Linked DNA regions of Elephas maximus indicus. The protein of the gene in region 1 purifies or fractionates together with the protein of each later gene. This does not show direct contact. Links are inferred from orthologs where the notes say so. Each region holds a gene or a part of one and is shown in the gene's direction. Other genes may lie near its edges.

What was found. Proteins that work in one complex are often made in the same cells at the same time.
Region 2: the proteins of TUBGCP2 (region 1) and MZT1 purify together in Homo sapiens (affinity purification with mass spectrometry; 4 studies listed by BioGRID and IntAct, counting the BioPlex papers as one, with this or other methods). This does not show direct contact. The link is inferred for Elephas maximus indicus from reciprocal best matches to the Homo sapiens genes TUBGCP2 and MZT1.

What each region holds. Positions count from the first base shown.
Region 1 is NC_064834.1:82,913,056-82,920,934, reverse strand, and holds the start of TUBGCP2 (gamma-tubulin complex component 2), read left to right. Parts: upstream 1-4,873; 5' UTR 4,874-4,998; intron 4,999-5,004; exon of another isoform or gene 5,005-5,445; intron 5,446-5,466; exon of another isoform or gene 5,467-5,606; intron 5,607-5,705; 5' UTR 5,706-5,875; intron 5,876-7,879. Other genes in the region: ZNF511 (zinc finger protein 511), read right to left, coding at 3,241-3,365, 3,603-3,804, 4,474-4,547, 4,721-4,873. UniProt on the Homo sapiens protein: Component of the gamma-tubulin ring complex (gTuRC) which mediates microtubule nucleation.
Region 2 is NC_064832.1:65,153,968-65,161,954, reverse strand, and holds the start of MZT1 (mitotic-spindle organizing protein 1), read left to right. Parts: upstream 1-4,979; 5' UTR 4,980-5,068; coding exon 5,069-5,141; intron 5,142-7,987. Other genes in the region: BORA (protein aurora borealis), read right to left, coding at 1,289-1,395, 3,541-3,693. UniProt on the Homo sapiens protein: Required for the recruitment and the assembly of the gamma-tubulin ring complex (gTuRC) at the centrosome.

The sequences.
Region 1 (7,879 bases):
TCAAACACCTATGCTCATCTAAAGACTTCACCAAAAGAGTAAAAAGACCACCTACAGACTGGGAAAGAATTTTCAGCTATGACATCTCCGACCAGCGCCTGATCTCTAAAATCTATATGATTCTGTCAAAACTCAACCACAAAAAGACAAACAACCCAATCAAGAAGTGGGCAAAGGATATGAACACACACTTCACTAAAGAAGATATTCAGGCAGCTAACAGATACATGAGAAAATGCTCTCGATCATTAGCCATTAGAAAAATGCAAATTAAAACTATGATGAGATTCCATCTCACTCCAACAAGGCTGGCATTAATCCAAAAAACACAAAATAATAAATCTTGGAGAGGCTGCGGAGAGACTGGAACTCTTACACACTGTTGGTGGGAATGTAAAATGGTACAACCACTTTGGAAATCTATCTGGCGTTATCTTAAACAGTTAGAAATAGAACTACCATACAACCCAGAAATCCCACTCCTCGGAATATACCCTAGAGAAACAAGAGCCTTCACACAAACAGAAATATGCACACCCATGTTTATTGCAGCTCTGTTCACAATAGCAAAAAGCTGGAAGCAACCAAGGTGTCCATCAACGGGTGAACAGGTAAATAAATTGTGGTATATTCACACAACGGAATACTATGCATCGAGAAAGAACAGTGATGAATCTGTGAAACATTTCATAACATGGAGAAACCTGGAAGGCATTATGCTGAATGAAATCAGTCAGAGGCAAAAGGACATATGTTGTATAAGACCACTATTATGAGATCTTGAGAAATAGTATAAACTAAGAAGAACACATACTTTTGTGGTTACAAGGGGGGAGGGAGGGAGGGAGGGAGGGAGAGGGTGTTTTACTGATTAATTAGTAGATAAGAACTGCTTTAGGTGAAGGGAAGGACAACACTCAACACATGGAAGGTCAGCTGAATTGGACTGGACCAAAAGCAAAGAAGTTTCCGGGATAAAATGAATGCTTCAAAGGTCAGCGGAGCAAGGGCGGGGGTTTGGGGACTATGGCTTAAGGGGACTTCTAAGTTAATTGGCAAAATAATTCTATTACAAAAACATTCTGCATCCCACTTTGAAATGTGGCGTCTGGGGTTTTAAATGCTAACAAGCGGCCATCTAAGATGCATCAGTTGGTCTCAACCCACATGGAGCAAAGGAGAATGAAGAACACCAAGGTCACATGACAACTAAGAGCCCAAGAGACAGAAAGGGCCCCATGAACCAGAGACCTACATCATCCTGAAACCAGAAGAACTAGGTGGTGCCCGGCCACAATCAATGACTGCCCTGACAGGGAGCACAACAGAGGACCCCTGAAGGAGCAGGAGATCAGTGGCATGTAGACCCCAAATTCTCATAGAAAGACCACACTTAATGGTCTGACTGAGACTAGAGGAATCCTGGCGGTCATGGTCCCCAAACCTTCTGTTGGCACAAGACAGGAACCATCCCCGAAGACAACTCATCAGATATGAAAGGGACTGGACAGTGGGTAGGAGAGAGATGCTGATGAAGAGTGAGCTAATTATATCAGGTGGACACTTGAGACTGTGTTGGCATCTCCTGTCTGGAGGGGGGATGGGAGGATAGAGTTGGAAGCTGGCAAAATTGTCACGAAAGGAGAGACTGGAAGGGCTGACTCATTAGGGGGAGAGCAAGTGGGAGTACGGAATAAGATGTATATAAACTTATATGTGACAGACTAACTTGATTTGTAAATGTTCACTGGAAGCTCAATAAAAGTTAATAAAAAAAGAAAAAAAGAAACACAGGTAAAAAAAAAAAAAGAGAGAGGGAAGGGGACACCTAGGTCGACAGGCACAATAAAATCTATTAAGAAAACATTCTGCATCCCGCTTTGGTGAGTGGAATCTGGAGTTTTAAATGCAAACAAGCAGCCATCTGAGATGCATCAGTTGGTCTCAACCCACCTGTGGCAAAGGAGAACGAAGAACACCAAAGGCACAAGGTAACTACGAGCCCAAGAGACAGAAATGAACACAGAAAGCAGAGACTACATCAGTCTGAGACCAGAAGACCTAGATGGTGCCCGGCTACAACCGATGACTGCCGTAACAGAGAACCCCTGAGGGAGCAGGAGAGCAGTGGGATGCAGACCTCAAATTATCGTAAAAAGACCAGACTTAATGGTCTGAGACTAGAAGGACCTTGGAGGTCATTGTCCCCAGACCTTCTGTTAGCCCATGATGGGAACCACTCCCAAAGCCATCTCTTCAGACAGGGATTGGACTGGACTATAAGATAGAAAATGATACTGGTGAGGAGTAAGCTTCTTGGACCAAGTAGGCACATGAGACTATGTGGGCACCTCCTGTCTGGAGGGGAGATGAGAAGACAGAGGGTGACAGAAGCTGGCTGAATGGACATAAAAATACAGGGTGGAGCAGAGGAGTGTGCTACATCATCACAGGGAGAGCAACTAAGAGTACATACCAAGGTGTATATAAGTTTTTGTATGAGAGACTGACTTGCTTTGTAAACTTTCACTTAAAACAATAAAAATTAAAAAAAAAAAAGGCAAGGAAACACTGCACAAATTTAACCATTATTTCCAGAGGTGTTTCCCCACAGTTTGAAGTATTGGATGTTATTGTGAACAAATTGTGTGTGGCACATTCTAGAAAATAACATGGCTGCTAAGTACTTATGCTGTCGTGTTCGTGAACACACACCACAGGACAAATGAGAAACCGGAGGGCCCAACATGAGGGGTTCACGGCCTGGGACACAACCACAAGGACCGCAGTGGCCATGGCTCCCTCTGGAGGCTGTCTCCGCACGGCATGCCAGTGGCCCAGTGTGCTCCACAGAAGGCAGGTGTGGGCCAGAGACGTATGAGCCAGGAGAAAAGTGGGGTGCTCCTAAAGGACTAAGGGGCCCAGGGCAGACTCGGAGGACTGGACCAGAGTCAGTCCCAACACAGAGCCTGGGCAGCCAGAGGCTCCCTTCCTGCCCTCCGTTCAGTGAACAGTCACACAAAAAATAAACCCCTACTTGTCTAACGTCCTCTAGCTAATAACCCTTGGTTTTCGGGTTTCTGTTACTTGTGGCTGAATCTAACAGTGAACAATGACAGGCTCTTAGCCATGGCACCTACATCCTAGTGTGGGAGTTAGGCAACAAGCTTCTTTTGGAGACAGGGAGTGGATACACACGGTGGTGTGGGCATGGCAGCACACACCTGGCATTGCACATACCCTCTGCTCTTCTTGGGCTTATCAAACCGGAAATCTGCAGGGTACAGGTGACGCTTTACCATGTGGTCCTTTCGGTCTCGGCTGGTCTTGAATTTCTCCTCACACCCTTCCACCAAGCACTGGTACTGAAACAGAACGTGCCACTCTACCATCATAACCCTAGACCCCCCCCCCGCCATGCTTTCATTTCTGGGGAAGCATATGATCAGACGTGTCGGGCAGGAAGGGACCCCTGGCCTTGCCCCCACACCCCTAGGATGGGAGGGACACCGTGACCCTTGGCTACTGTACCCAATGACAACACGGTGACCCTGGCACCAGACCACACTGGCTCCAGCCCCGTGGCGTGGCCCACTGCTCACCATGTCCTGCCTCTCAGCCAGGATCTGGAAGAGAGCATCATGCCACTCCACGATGTGGCTGTCCAGCAGGTGGCCGGAGGGGAATGCCCGCTTGCAGAAGGAGCAGACGTTCCTGTGCAGCACGTGGTAGTGGTGCTCGTAGCCCTCCAGGGTATCAAACACCTGGCAGCAGCCTGCCACCTGGCAGGTGAACTCTGGCACCCTAGGTGGGGAGGGCAGGTCTCACAGAGGCGCCCCTCCATCAGTCAGTGACAGAAAGCCCTGTTTGAATCTCCTGCCAACAGTTCTCCCTAAGCAGTCTCATGAAGCCTTCTGCAATTCAAAACCCCACTTTTCCCGCATTAGATGTTCATAAACAAGGTAGGAAGTGGGGGAGACAGCTACGCAAACCTTGGCACAGTGGTTCAGGGCACAAGGCACTTCCCAGGAGGGTTAAAGGTAAGTGTGGCAGAGCCCTGGTGGCGCAGTGGTTAAGTGCTCAGCCGCTAACCGAAAGGTCGGTGGTTAGAACCCACCGGCTGCTCCTCCAGGGAGAAAGATGTGGCAGTCTGCTTCCATAAAATTTTACAGGCTTGGAAACCCTATAGGGCAGTTCTACTCTGTTCTATAGGGTCACTGTGAGTTGGAATCGACTGAACAGCAACAGGTGTTTCCAGTTTTTTTGGTGGCAGAGCCCGGGCGGAGAACTCCTGGAGCACCCAGACCTGATGCTGATGTAGGCAGGCCTGCAAAGCAAGGGCACAGGAAGGGGGCTTGGGGCAGAGGTGAAAAGGTTACGAGGTGAGGGCAGAGCGTGGGTGTGGGGTAAGTGTGGGGCGAAGCGCCAGCGTCGACAGCAGAAGGCGGCGCTGTGGGCGCTGGAGCTGCTCACCTGGGCCTTGCGGGGGCCTCGGCCACCTGCATGAGCACGTCCCGTAGATAGAGGTGCCGTTGCACGTCCCCATCCTGGAATAGACAGGTGCCGTGGGGCGGGGTCAGAAGCCTTCCGGCCCCGCCCCGCGTGGCGCTCCGCCCCCTGAGACCTCGGCCCCCAGCTGGCAACTGCCCGGACGCGCGCAGACTCAGAGACGCACAGGGACACACGGACACACACACACAGACGCGCACACGCTGCGCACCTCGAAGAACTCGTGCTCTCGCGGGAAGCGGACCCGGCGCGCCACGAAACGAAAGGGCGCGGCCCCCGCCGCGGGGTCTCGCACCACGGGCAGCGGCTCGGCGGCTCCGGGGCCCTCGGCCAGGCGGGCGCGCAAGGCGGGCGGCAGCTGCATGGCCGGGCACCGCCTCTCCCCCTGCCTGCCGGCCACCGTCCGGAGCCGGACGTGACGTCGCGCGCATCACTTCCGCCGTCGCTGCGGGCTGCGGCGGCTCGGGGCGGGGCGGCGCTGAGTCGGCGGTGAGTGCGGGCGCTGGGCGGGCGGGGGCGCGGGGACCCCAGGCCCCCGTCCGCGCGGCTCTGCGCTTGCCCCGCCACCGGTGTGCCGGACGCTGTGCCAGGTGCTCAGCGGCCACGGGTGCCAGCGTCAGACCGGGTCCCTGCTGCCCCGGAGCCTGCAGCGGAGAAGGGCGGCAGATGTTTAACGGCGGAGACAGCTACCCAGTTAGATCGGGAGCGCCCGAGAGAAGCAGGGGGCGCTATGGGACCGTCTGTGGGGGATGGGCCGGGGGCTCACAGGGACAAACTCCACCCGCCAGAAGATTTCCTCGTGGAGCAGGGCTTATAAGTGCTCTAGCAAGGAAAAGGGGGTGCTTGCTGTTTCTATAAGAGAGCCACGTGTAATGAAAATAGAAGTAAGCGACCCATGATGAAAAGCTTTTTGTCAGCTTTACCCTGCAACTAAAGGTTTGTGGCTACAGCCCCACCTGGTCATCTTTAGGCCTAAGAGCTTCTGTTATGGATCAAGAGTCTATTTTTCATTTTCTTGTCTCATACCGAGGACTATTTCTTTACTTTCCTGTTTCTGGAAAAACGTTAGGGTTCTTGGCATTTTTCCAAGTTGTAAGGTAACGTTTTTCAAGCCAGTTAGTGCAATTACCTTTGAGCTCTAAACAAAGATTTTCTCAGCTTCTTCTGTGTTGTAATCAAATGTTTTTCACTACTAGCGTGTGCCTCATTCTGTCACGGCAAAACATGACGTACCACTCCATCGCCTCCTCCCGCTCATCCCTCCGGTAGCTCTCAGGAGAGAAGTGCTGCTCAGTCACGCGAGTTTGTGTTCCTCCTTTTGTGGCAACGAACAGAGAAGAGAATTCTAGAGCACCAGAAAGATTAAGTAAGCTTTTAAATGTTCTTAAATTGTTGTTAGGTGCCATCGAGTATGTTCTGTCTCAGCGACCCTATAGAACAGTGTAGAACTGCCTCCTAGGGTTTCCAGAGAGCAGGTGCTGGATTTCAACTGCCAACCTTTTGGTTAGCAGCTGAGCTCTTAACCACTGTGCCACCAGGGTTCTGTTCTTAAATGTTTTTGTTTTTTGGTGGGGACGCTACTGGCATTTTTGGTGGGACAGCACTCCTACATCTTGCCCACTAAGTCAAGGAGCACCTTCCAGACACTGTGACAGCCTGTTGCCCCTACACATTTCCACAGATCCCCAGGGGATGGTACTGCCTGTAGTCGAGGGCTGCCATCTTGTAGGAATTGTTCCCCAAATCCAGATAGAACAGCAGGCTCCTTACAGTGTTAATGTTTGTGATGTGGGGATGTCTGTGTTATATTTTTACCACAAATGTAAAGTTTCTTGAAGATGATGTTTCAAAACAACGTTCACTCAGAAGTAGCTCGCTACCTGTGTTTGCTTGGTGGAGGGTGTTTCGTTTCAGCAGCAAACAAATGTCCTTGCCTTTTTGTATTACCAACATGGCCTTCAATCCAAAAGCAGAGGACAACCCACAGTCATCGAGAAGCCATCAGCCAAAGAGTTGCAGTTTTCCTGTTCTGCATGTGGTTCGAGGTTCCTTCTTCAAGGCTCCTTGTGGTTAAGGAAGAACTGATGGTTGAGGCATTGTCAGTAATGCTGGTCTGATTGTCTATGTGTGAAATCCACCATTTTCCAGATAACGGAGTTAATGTTTCCAGAGTATTTGCCCTTTGTAGTAACAGCAACGAGTTATTTCTGCTTTTCCAATAATAACAACTGCAGAACTTTTTATGTGCGGGCACCTCAGTGCTTTATGAGAATTATCTTATTTAACCCACAGCAGCTCTGTGGCATAGGTACTATCATTTCCCTCTTTTCTGATGAGGCACCTGAGTGTCAGAGCCTTAGAAAGGACAGGCTACCTGCCCAGGGTCCCAAAACTGGGAAGTGGCTGGGTCAGTGCTGAGCCTGCCTGGGACTCCATGGCCACATCCTGTGTTTCTTGCCTTCTAACCATGAGTGCTTCTTGATGAAAACATGCATGCTTCGGGGACGTACCACCAGTTCGTGTTTGTGTTCCACTTTCATTGTTGGAGACGTTCTGCCTCCGACCAGTATTTGATGTTTATGTGCCGTGAAAGTATGATATTTGTATGCTGAGCATCTGTTTTCCATTAGACAAGATTAGAGTCTAGCTTTCTCAATGTGAAGTTCCAAATTAATATGTATTAGTAAGTTGTACCTTGTTTGGGTCACAGAACTTTTTGAGAAGCTGATGAAAGACCTTCATCTTAGAAAATTCACAGATGATTTCGCGTCTCATTTCTGAGGGTGCTTTTCATGTTCATGGGCCTAGACTAAGACCCGTGCACTGGCGCTGCAGTGTTTTAGTGAAGCCTGTCCCATTTGTGTTTTGAATCTGTGGTGATTGACACATGCATTTGTCTTAAACCTGTTGTCGGCTCTCTTGGTGGTAACGGCTGCCTGGTCTGCCATCAGTGGGAGAACAGAGGTCCCCATGCAGTCCGCTGCTCTCCACCTGGTGGGACACTGATTTTGTATTTCATGGCAAGACCCTTGGACACAGCAGGGCATAGTGAACTAAAGTGGGACCCCATCCAGCTCAAGGGCACAGGGAGTGTGTAGAATTTGCCCAGAAGCATTAGCATACACAGCCAACCTTGAGAGCAAGAAGGGGAGATGTTCCTGGCACCAGAGCTGTAAATGGAGCTGCAGCTGAAAGGCTCAGGGTTTTAGAGCCAGGTGAGAGCCTTGTGGGCTGGAGTCCAGTGTTCGTGCTGGGACAGGGAGTAGTGGTTTAAGCTTAAGGCTGTTGTGGTGACGTCTAGGGGGTGGGGGAGCACGTTTGCAGGGCTCTCCTGGGCCCCAGATGATTTTAGCTTGACAAATGCCTGGTC
Region 2 (7,987 bases), on another chromosome or scaffold:
AAGACTCTTCAACTGATATAAACAAGAAGAGTCCCATCAAACAAACACTGCTACCTGACATGTGGAATCAAAAACTAGGTCTGTGCCCCCAAGGAAGTACATGTTCTCAATATATTAGGCATCATTAAGCCGCACAAGTCTGAGGCACACTAGTGCTTTGAAGCCTACACAATACATCAACAAATAAATTCAGGCTACTCTGGTTACTATGAGTTATAGATGCTAACCAAAAGGTCGGCAGTTCAACTCCACCAGGCACTCCTTGGAAACCCTATGGGGCAGTTCTACTCTTTCCTAAAGGGTTGCTATGAGTCGGAATAAACTTGATAGTAGTGGGTTTGGTTTGGTTTTTTTTCTGGTTACTACGAAGAATTGAAGGCAATGTAATTCCAAGGAGCCCTGGAGGCCCAGTGGTTAAGAGCTTGGCTGCTAACCAGAAAGCTGGCAGTTCAAATCTACCAGCCACTCCCTGGAAATCCTACAGGGCAGTTCTACTGTGTCCTATAGGGTCATTATAAGTTAGAATTGACTCAGCAGCAATGGGTAAGTGTAGTATAAGGAGCTCTGGTGGTCAGTGGTTAAATGCTCAGCTGCTAACCAAAAGGTTAGCAGTTCAAATCACCAGCTGCTCTGTGGGAGAAAGATTACAGCCTTAGAAACCCTATGGGGTAGCTCTACTCTATCCTACAAGGTTTCTATGAGTTGGAATCAACTCCATGACAATGGATTTTTTTTTTTTTGGTAGGTGTACTATGTTAAAGTTGGATGATTTTCTAGAAAAGTTTTCTTTATTGCTAGTGAACACTCATCCATTCAATGTGTCTTAACTTGGTAAGGGGACTTTCAGCTTCTCCAATTATAGATGGCAACAAAACAGTATTTTGCTTTATGCACACATGGCAAAAAAAAAAAAAAAGAGAGAGAACACTCTTAAAAAGGAAAATAAAATTTTAAAAAGTCAATGACAGAAACCGTAATCATGTACAAAGGTATGAATTTCAAAACGCCTTGCCCTCTATCAAGTGCTGAAGAGGCAGAGTTACTTCATAAGCAGCCCAAGAAGAAGGCTATCTCTAAAAGAAAAGGACTCCCACCCAGATGTGGAACTCTCATCAAGGGAATCTTTGCAGATAGAGTTCTTTGGACTAACTCCTTATTTAAATGGAACAAATTGAAATTTTTCCACCCTGTTATCTTTAGATACAAAAATATTCAACCTTTGGAATTTCCTATCTCTCTTCACTTGACAGAATGTTATTACACTTTGGTGCAGGGAAGAAAAACTTACCGAGAATGACTTAAGTATAAAGCTTGACGATGAATGTCCTCTGGGTCTATTTCTACAGGATTTATTACAGCTAGTTGATCAATAGACCATCTAAATTTCCCTGGAGTCTTAACAAAAGAAAGTAAGCTTATCAGTAGAGGCAAACTAAACTAGTTCATCAAAATGCTAACCAATGTCACCTTCAAAAACAATGTGAAAAGCTATAATACAAAATATTTTAAAGTTCTTATCTTAAAATTTGACTTTACCACTAAATTCAAAGGCAAATGGTAATCATCACACTAAATCAACTTACTTGACTATAACTCTTTTGAAATATCAAAATCTATCTGGTTAATTTTTAAAATTATATACAAAACCAAACGAAACCCACTGACGTTGAGTAGATTCCAACTCATAGCATCCCTATATATAAAAACAGAAAAATCACGACACAAAAAGGGAAAAAATTCAACAATACTCATCAATGATGCAACATACCCACGTAAAAGTAAAAACTTCTTAGAGTTATCAAGGGTCTTTACTATCACCAAGAATAAACAGAAATTAAGCAAAGTTCTAACCATAGAAGTGGCTGTAAAAGCTCATAAACTGGTTGATTCTGAAAATAATTATGAATGGTAACAAGTGCTGCCATTTCTTATTCAACTACCCAGCTGAATCAAAAGCTTATCCAAACTGCAATCCGTATTTAGAAATATATTTTTTACAATTCAGACCTAAAGCCCCAAGATGCTATGGTTTCTGGATTTGAGGAAAATGTTGCAGACATCTTATTATTTAAGACTAAGAGAAAAGTAAAACCTAATGAGCCAAAAAAAAAAAAAAAAAAAAAGGTCAATTAAATATCACTGGGTCAGATTAATGAAAAGACTCAATATAAACTGTAATACTGCCGCACCTTCTTCTTCTACACATCTGTTTATTGTCCAGGATGACAGAAAAGGGAGCGTAAACAGTTACCCAGTTTGTAGTTTTACTAAGCAACTTACTAAGGTTAAAAGATCAGGCTTCAAAAGAACTTCTCCAGTGCAGCAAATAACAATAAAAATAAGCTAAACTGATGAAAAAAAAAAAAGCCTCTGCTAATCTCCTAAAGAGCACTTTCTCTTCCCTATTACCCTTGGACTTAACCGTCAATCATAATACGTATCACACTATCTTAAAATTGCTAGTTTAGTTGTGTCTATTAGAGCAGGGGTTGAATTCTTTTTGTAGAGCCTACAAGCTAAGAATAGTTTTGAAATTCTCAAAGGACTGAAAAAACTCCAGAAGAAAATTACAATGACGTGACACGTGAATATTACATAACATTGTAATTACAATGTCCATTAAGTAAAGCTTTATTGGAACTCAGTCACGTTTATTTGTATTGTCTATGGCTGTTTTTGGAGCCCTGGTGGCACAGTGGTTAAGTGTTTGGCTGTTAACTAAAGGGTTACCCTTTGGGGCAGCTCTACTCTGTCCTATAGGGTTGCTGTGAGTCAGAATCAACGTGACAGCAATGGGTTTGGTTTTTTGGTTATAGCTGTTTTTGCATTACATGACAGAGATGAGTAGTTGCCAAAGTGACCAGATAATGTGCAAAGCCTAAAATATTTCCTGTCTGATCCTTGACAGAAAGTTGCTGGCCCCTGCATTACAGTATAAGCTTCTTGAGAGTTTCCGTATAATGATCTTGACTATCTCACAGTGTAACCCCTATGCCTAGCTCTATCTGACACATAAACTGAAAACCAAACCCGTTGCCGCCAAGTCAATTCCGACTCATAGCGACCCTATAGACAGAGCAGAACTGCCCCACAGAGTTTCCAAAGAACGCCTGGTGGGTTGGAACTGCTGATCTTTTGGTTAGCAACTGCAGCTCTTAACCAGTTGCCACCAGGGTTTCCATCTGACACCATAGCAGCCTTCAAATAATGTTTGCCAAATAAATGAGAACAGAGTAGCTATTAGATGACACAGCTTCTTCTCTAATCTGGTATTAGTAGATACATCATTACCCATAGTATCTAACTACACCTGCACTGGCATGGAGCTATCCTATGTTTTCTGCTGAATTAAAAAAAAAAATGCTAACTAAAAAAATCTTCTAACTTATTTTTAGCCCAACCACTAGATTACAATGAATGCTGCAATGAAAAAAGCATATTCCAGCTATACGTACTCCATGATATATTTCTCCCTTACTTTGTAAAGAAAGGATATTTAAATTTAAAGTTATTTGTAAACACAAGTCAAAAATAACTTACCGGTAATTTTGTTGATTTAAAAACAGAGGGACTGGAGACAGTTTGCTCATGGAGATTAGAATAATCACTAGGACTTTCAAAAGGATTTAAAACAGTGATCCTTCCTGGAGTTTCTGGTGTTATTTGCATCTTTGATTCTTTGACATCTTCCATAGCACAAAGAGAAAACTAAAACGAAACCAGAAATATGTGTACTAAAACCACAGAGCGCCGTAGATGTTAATTCTGACAACTAAAATGTATTCAAGAAACACATGTTTCATAAAAAGAACGAACTCAAAACCTAATGCTCTTGGGTATTTTGTACAGTTCACAAAAAAGCATCACTTATATTTTCTCAAGCGATCCACTAAACAACCCTGGAAGCTAGTGAGATAAAATCTCACTTTGCGGAAGAATTAACAAGCTCACACAAGTTAAGTGGCCATCGTCCAAATTAGAGCTCAGATACACCTTCGAGGCAACTAAATGTTACCAACGGGCACAAGATTCTTTTCGACTAGTGGACTTACAGTTTTTTATTCCTCATCTAAAGTCTCTAAAGAGTTTCAACATCCTTCCGACACCCCAGCAAATCCCACTAAATTGCAGTTATTATTAAACAATTCTTAATAGCAAGAATTTAAAAGATAAGGACGCTTGTGCACGGATCCCTTCTTGAACATTAGACCTCGCCAGAAAAGTATGACTGATTAAAAAAAAAAATGATTAGGATTAAGAGATTAACGGTCTTTGAAGTTATCCTTCTTTAAACATCCTCCTCTCGTCAAGATACACAGGATAGAAGGAAAGACTGCATTATTTCCAGGTAGAGGGGTATACAAGTAAAGAAAAAGAAGAATCTACTTCTTGGAAGGCTGAAGTGCAGCTGGCTTCCTTGGATCAAGGGCAGAGGAGGACATCAATGCCGGTGTCACCCCCAGCCCCTAGGCGATCAGCCTTTCCCGGCGCCCCTCTCTTCCGCACCTACCCCCTGGCTGCTCCCACTGACCCCGGGGCGAGCAGGCTGGCAGGTCTGGAGCCGGGAAAAGTGAGCTATCCTATTACAAACAGGAGGAAAGGCCAGGAACTATAAAGAACGTACCTACTGGTGTGTGTAAAAAGGAAACCACGCTTCCCAGGGCAGAAAGCCCTCAATAGCGACTCCAGGGTGCTCCCGAGGGGCCAGACCCAGAGCCCACGACAGGCACAGACTCTTTAACTCCCCGCTTCCGCGCTGTCTTAGGCCAACCAGGGCACGGGGCTCGTGGACGACTGGCCAATCGCGTCCCATCGCTGTCCGCGAACCAGCCAATCGCATCGAGGCCGCGTAGTAAATTCGAATGGAAACTCCACGCTTCACATTCCGCGTAGAGTAACGAGGCTCCAAATTCAAATGAACGCAGCCGCACGCTGGCGACGAGCGCGAGGGGCGGAGCCTCCCTGGCGTGAGCGGAGGACGCGCGGTGGGATTGCCCGGGGGAAAGGAAGGCGCTCCAGTTCCGGGTCAGGCCCTTCCCCGCCTCCGTCGGCCGGACCGGCCTGAGCCATGGCGAGTAGTAGCGGCGCTGGGGCGGCGGCGGCGGCAGCCAATCTGAACGCGGTGAGGGAGACCATGGACGGTGAGTTCCCGTTTTCCTTCCTCTACCTCGCCTCCGCTTCCACAGCGAAGGCCCACAGGCGAGGGTGAGGCTAGGGAAGACTTGAGGTCGACCTTCTGCCCCAGACGACATCTTCGAAGATCTTCCAGGAGGACTGGCCGGAGCCGCAGGGCGGGCCGATGGCCTTATCCTTTGAGAGTTTTCTCTTGGCTCCTGCGTAGTTCGTCGCGCGTGCGGCGTTGGGACCCCCGCGTCAACCTGGCGCGCGCCCCGCCCCTCCCGAGCCCGACCTCCAACGCCTCCTCTGGAGCGGGACCCCGCGCGCACCGACCCCCAGACCGCGTCCCGCCCCTTCCTCGACCCGCCTGCGCTGTCCCCGCGCTCCCCGGCGCCCTGAGCGCTCATTCCGTGCTGCGCTGCGCGCTGCGACCCTCCCTCCCCAGATCTGGCTTCCACGTCCCCTTCCCGCGCCGGATCTGCGCGCCCAATGCGGCGGAGCACCCTGCTCCGGAGCGGGAAGCGGTGCGGGAGCGCACTACACCGTAACTTCCTAGCAGAGAGCCTGTGTCTGGTCACCGTTCTGTTCCTTGCTTTGGCACTTAGGTGGACGCTTTGTAAGTATCCGGCAAATGAACAGATAGCCCCTTCATCAGAAATGCGTCGCTTTTTTCTTGGATCGGATGACGGCCGTGTCGGGTTTTGTGGGAAGTGGCCAGTTTGTGTGCCACGGAACACGTGGGTGTGAAGCCTACTCAGGCGTGGAAGACGATTCAGACTCTTGGAGTTAGACGTATCATCTACGGTCTGCCTTGCCGCTTGTTCGTATCTCTGTGCTGAGCTTAGAAAAGCTACTTAAACATCTTTGAGCCTGTCTCTTTTTCTGTAAAATACAGTTATCCCAGGATTAGTTGTATTCGAGTAAGATGATGAGATAAAGGCATAGTAAAGATGACCAATAAAAGGTAGCTTTTCTCTAATTTTTTCTGTTTATTGAATGTCCTCCCAGCTGCAGACTCCTTTCTTTGTCTCCGCTTTACATGCATCCAGCTATAAATGAGTGTTGGATGGATGTTAAATATATCTGCTTACACGCTCCCTCCTAATTTTCCAGGGGATACCCGCATCAACCTCCATCTCCGTTACACAAACAACCCCACTGAATCCTCACTAGGTAGTGTCAGCCTTCCTGCCATATATGTGTCTCCTTTAATGCATGTTCTACTTTGTGATACGTTCCCTGGTTATCATCCCTTCTGATAACGCCTCTGCCTTTTCTTGCACTGGCTTTGCTTTCCTTTTCAGAGAATTACTTGTACTACTAGAGCGCTTGCATAGCTAATTTTTACTTACCCAGTATCTACTTTGCTGTTTTTCTGAAAACTAGAATTTTGTCCTTAACACCATATCCAGTCTATTTTGTTTCATTTTTCTCAATGTATCACAGCTAATTAATTTTGTAAATGATACGTGTACATAGGAATTTATATATATGACCTCATCATCTATCTTTACCTGGAAGTCAACTTGCTTTTTGAACAAAATGGGGAATATGAGACTTCGCTTCTAGCCAAGTGTGTAAGCTGTGCTTAGGTTCATTATTAATGTGGCCATAGAATCCCACGTGACTAGAAGCCGTGTGTTTTATCCCTGATGGAACTGCTCACCCATCACCCATTGCTGTCGAGCCTGTTCGAACTCATGTACATCACCTACTGATGTGCAGGTGAGAACTGATGGTTTGTATTGGTTGCCTTATCAAAATCTTTACTGAAAGAACTTTGTGTAAGAGGATGATTATAGAGAGTGTTAAGAACATGAAAAAGTGAAGATGAGAAATATTTTTTTAAACAAATTGGAGGAAAGGAGGTATGGATTAGAGAACATGGCTCCTCTACATGGAGTCCCTGCACTGCACTCTAGTTGGAGGTTCGAGTCCACCCAGATGTACCTCCAAAGAAAGGCCTCCTGAAAATCAGCCATCAGAAACCCATGGAGCACCGTTCTACTCTGACACACATGGAGCCACCTTGAGTCGTAATTAACTCCACAGCAACTGGGTTTTTGTTTTTCTTTGTTGTTGTTGCTGGTTTTTTTTTTTTTTTTTTTTTTTCGCTTTGATGGACAGAAATTTTCTCACAGGTTAGAAGGCTAGAAGTCTGAATTCGGGGTACTAGCTCTAGGGGAAGAGTTTCTCTGTCCACTCTGGGCAACTTTTTATATTTTTCAGCTCCTTCCACGGTTTCTCTTCACTCACAACAAGAAAGTAAAAAGAGAGGCACCAGGTTGCAGTGGGTCAACATTTGTAAAACATGGTAGTTCGATGCTGTTATGTTCATTAGAACTCTAAACTTACAGGAGTACCCTGCTGTAATGCCATAGTTGGGGCCCCAGACATTCATTCACATAAAATGCGGCGTTCAATTATTGCAGAGTTAATGGAAGATAGTGTTTCCTAAGCTGTCTATAGTGATTGGGGCACAAAGCTGAAGAGTATGAAACATCCAGTGTACACAGTTGACCATACATTGAGCTGAAAAAGTAAAGGTAGTCGTTACGTAATCCCACCTTCCTCCACCCTTATGTTCAGAAATAAAACTTTAGCTTGTCCAAAGGCCTGGGCTGACCTACTCAAATACCATTTGTCATTTGAAATTTTGTTAACCTGGGCCTGCACTATGTTTCAGTCTATCCATGAGAGCCTGAGTGAAGTGTTCAAAAATTGGTTGAGTCCCATTTCTTTCCTCAGTGGCAGATGTTGTCTACCCTTCTTTGCGATCACTTCATCTCCTGACACTCCCTCTCCCATCAGTATTGGAAAGAGTCAGATAACAGATCTAAATTTATTAATGGTTTGCATTTTAACACTT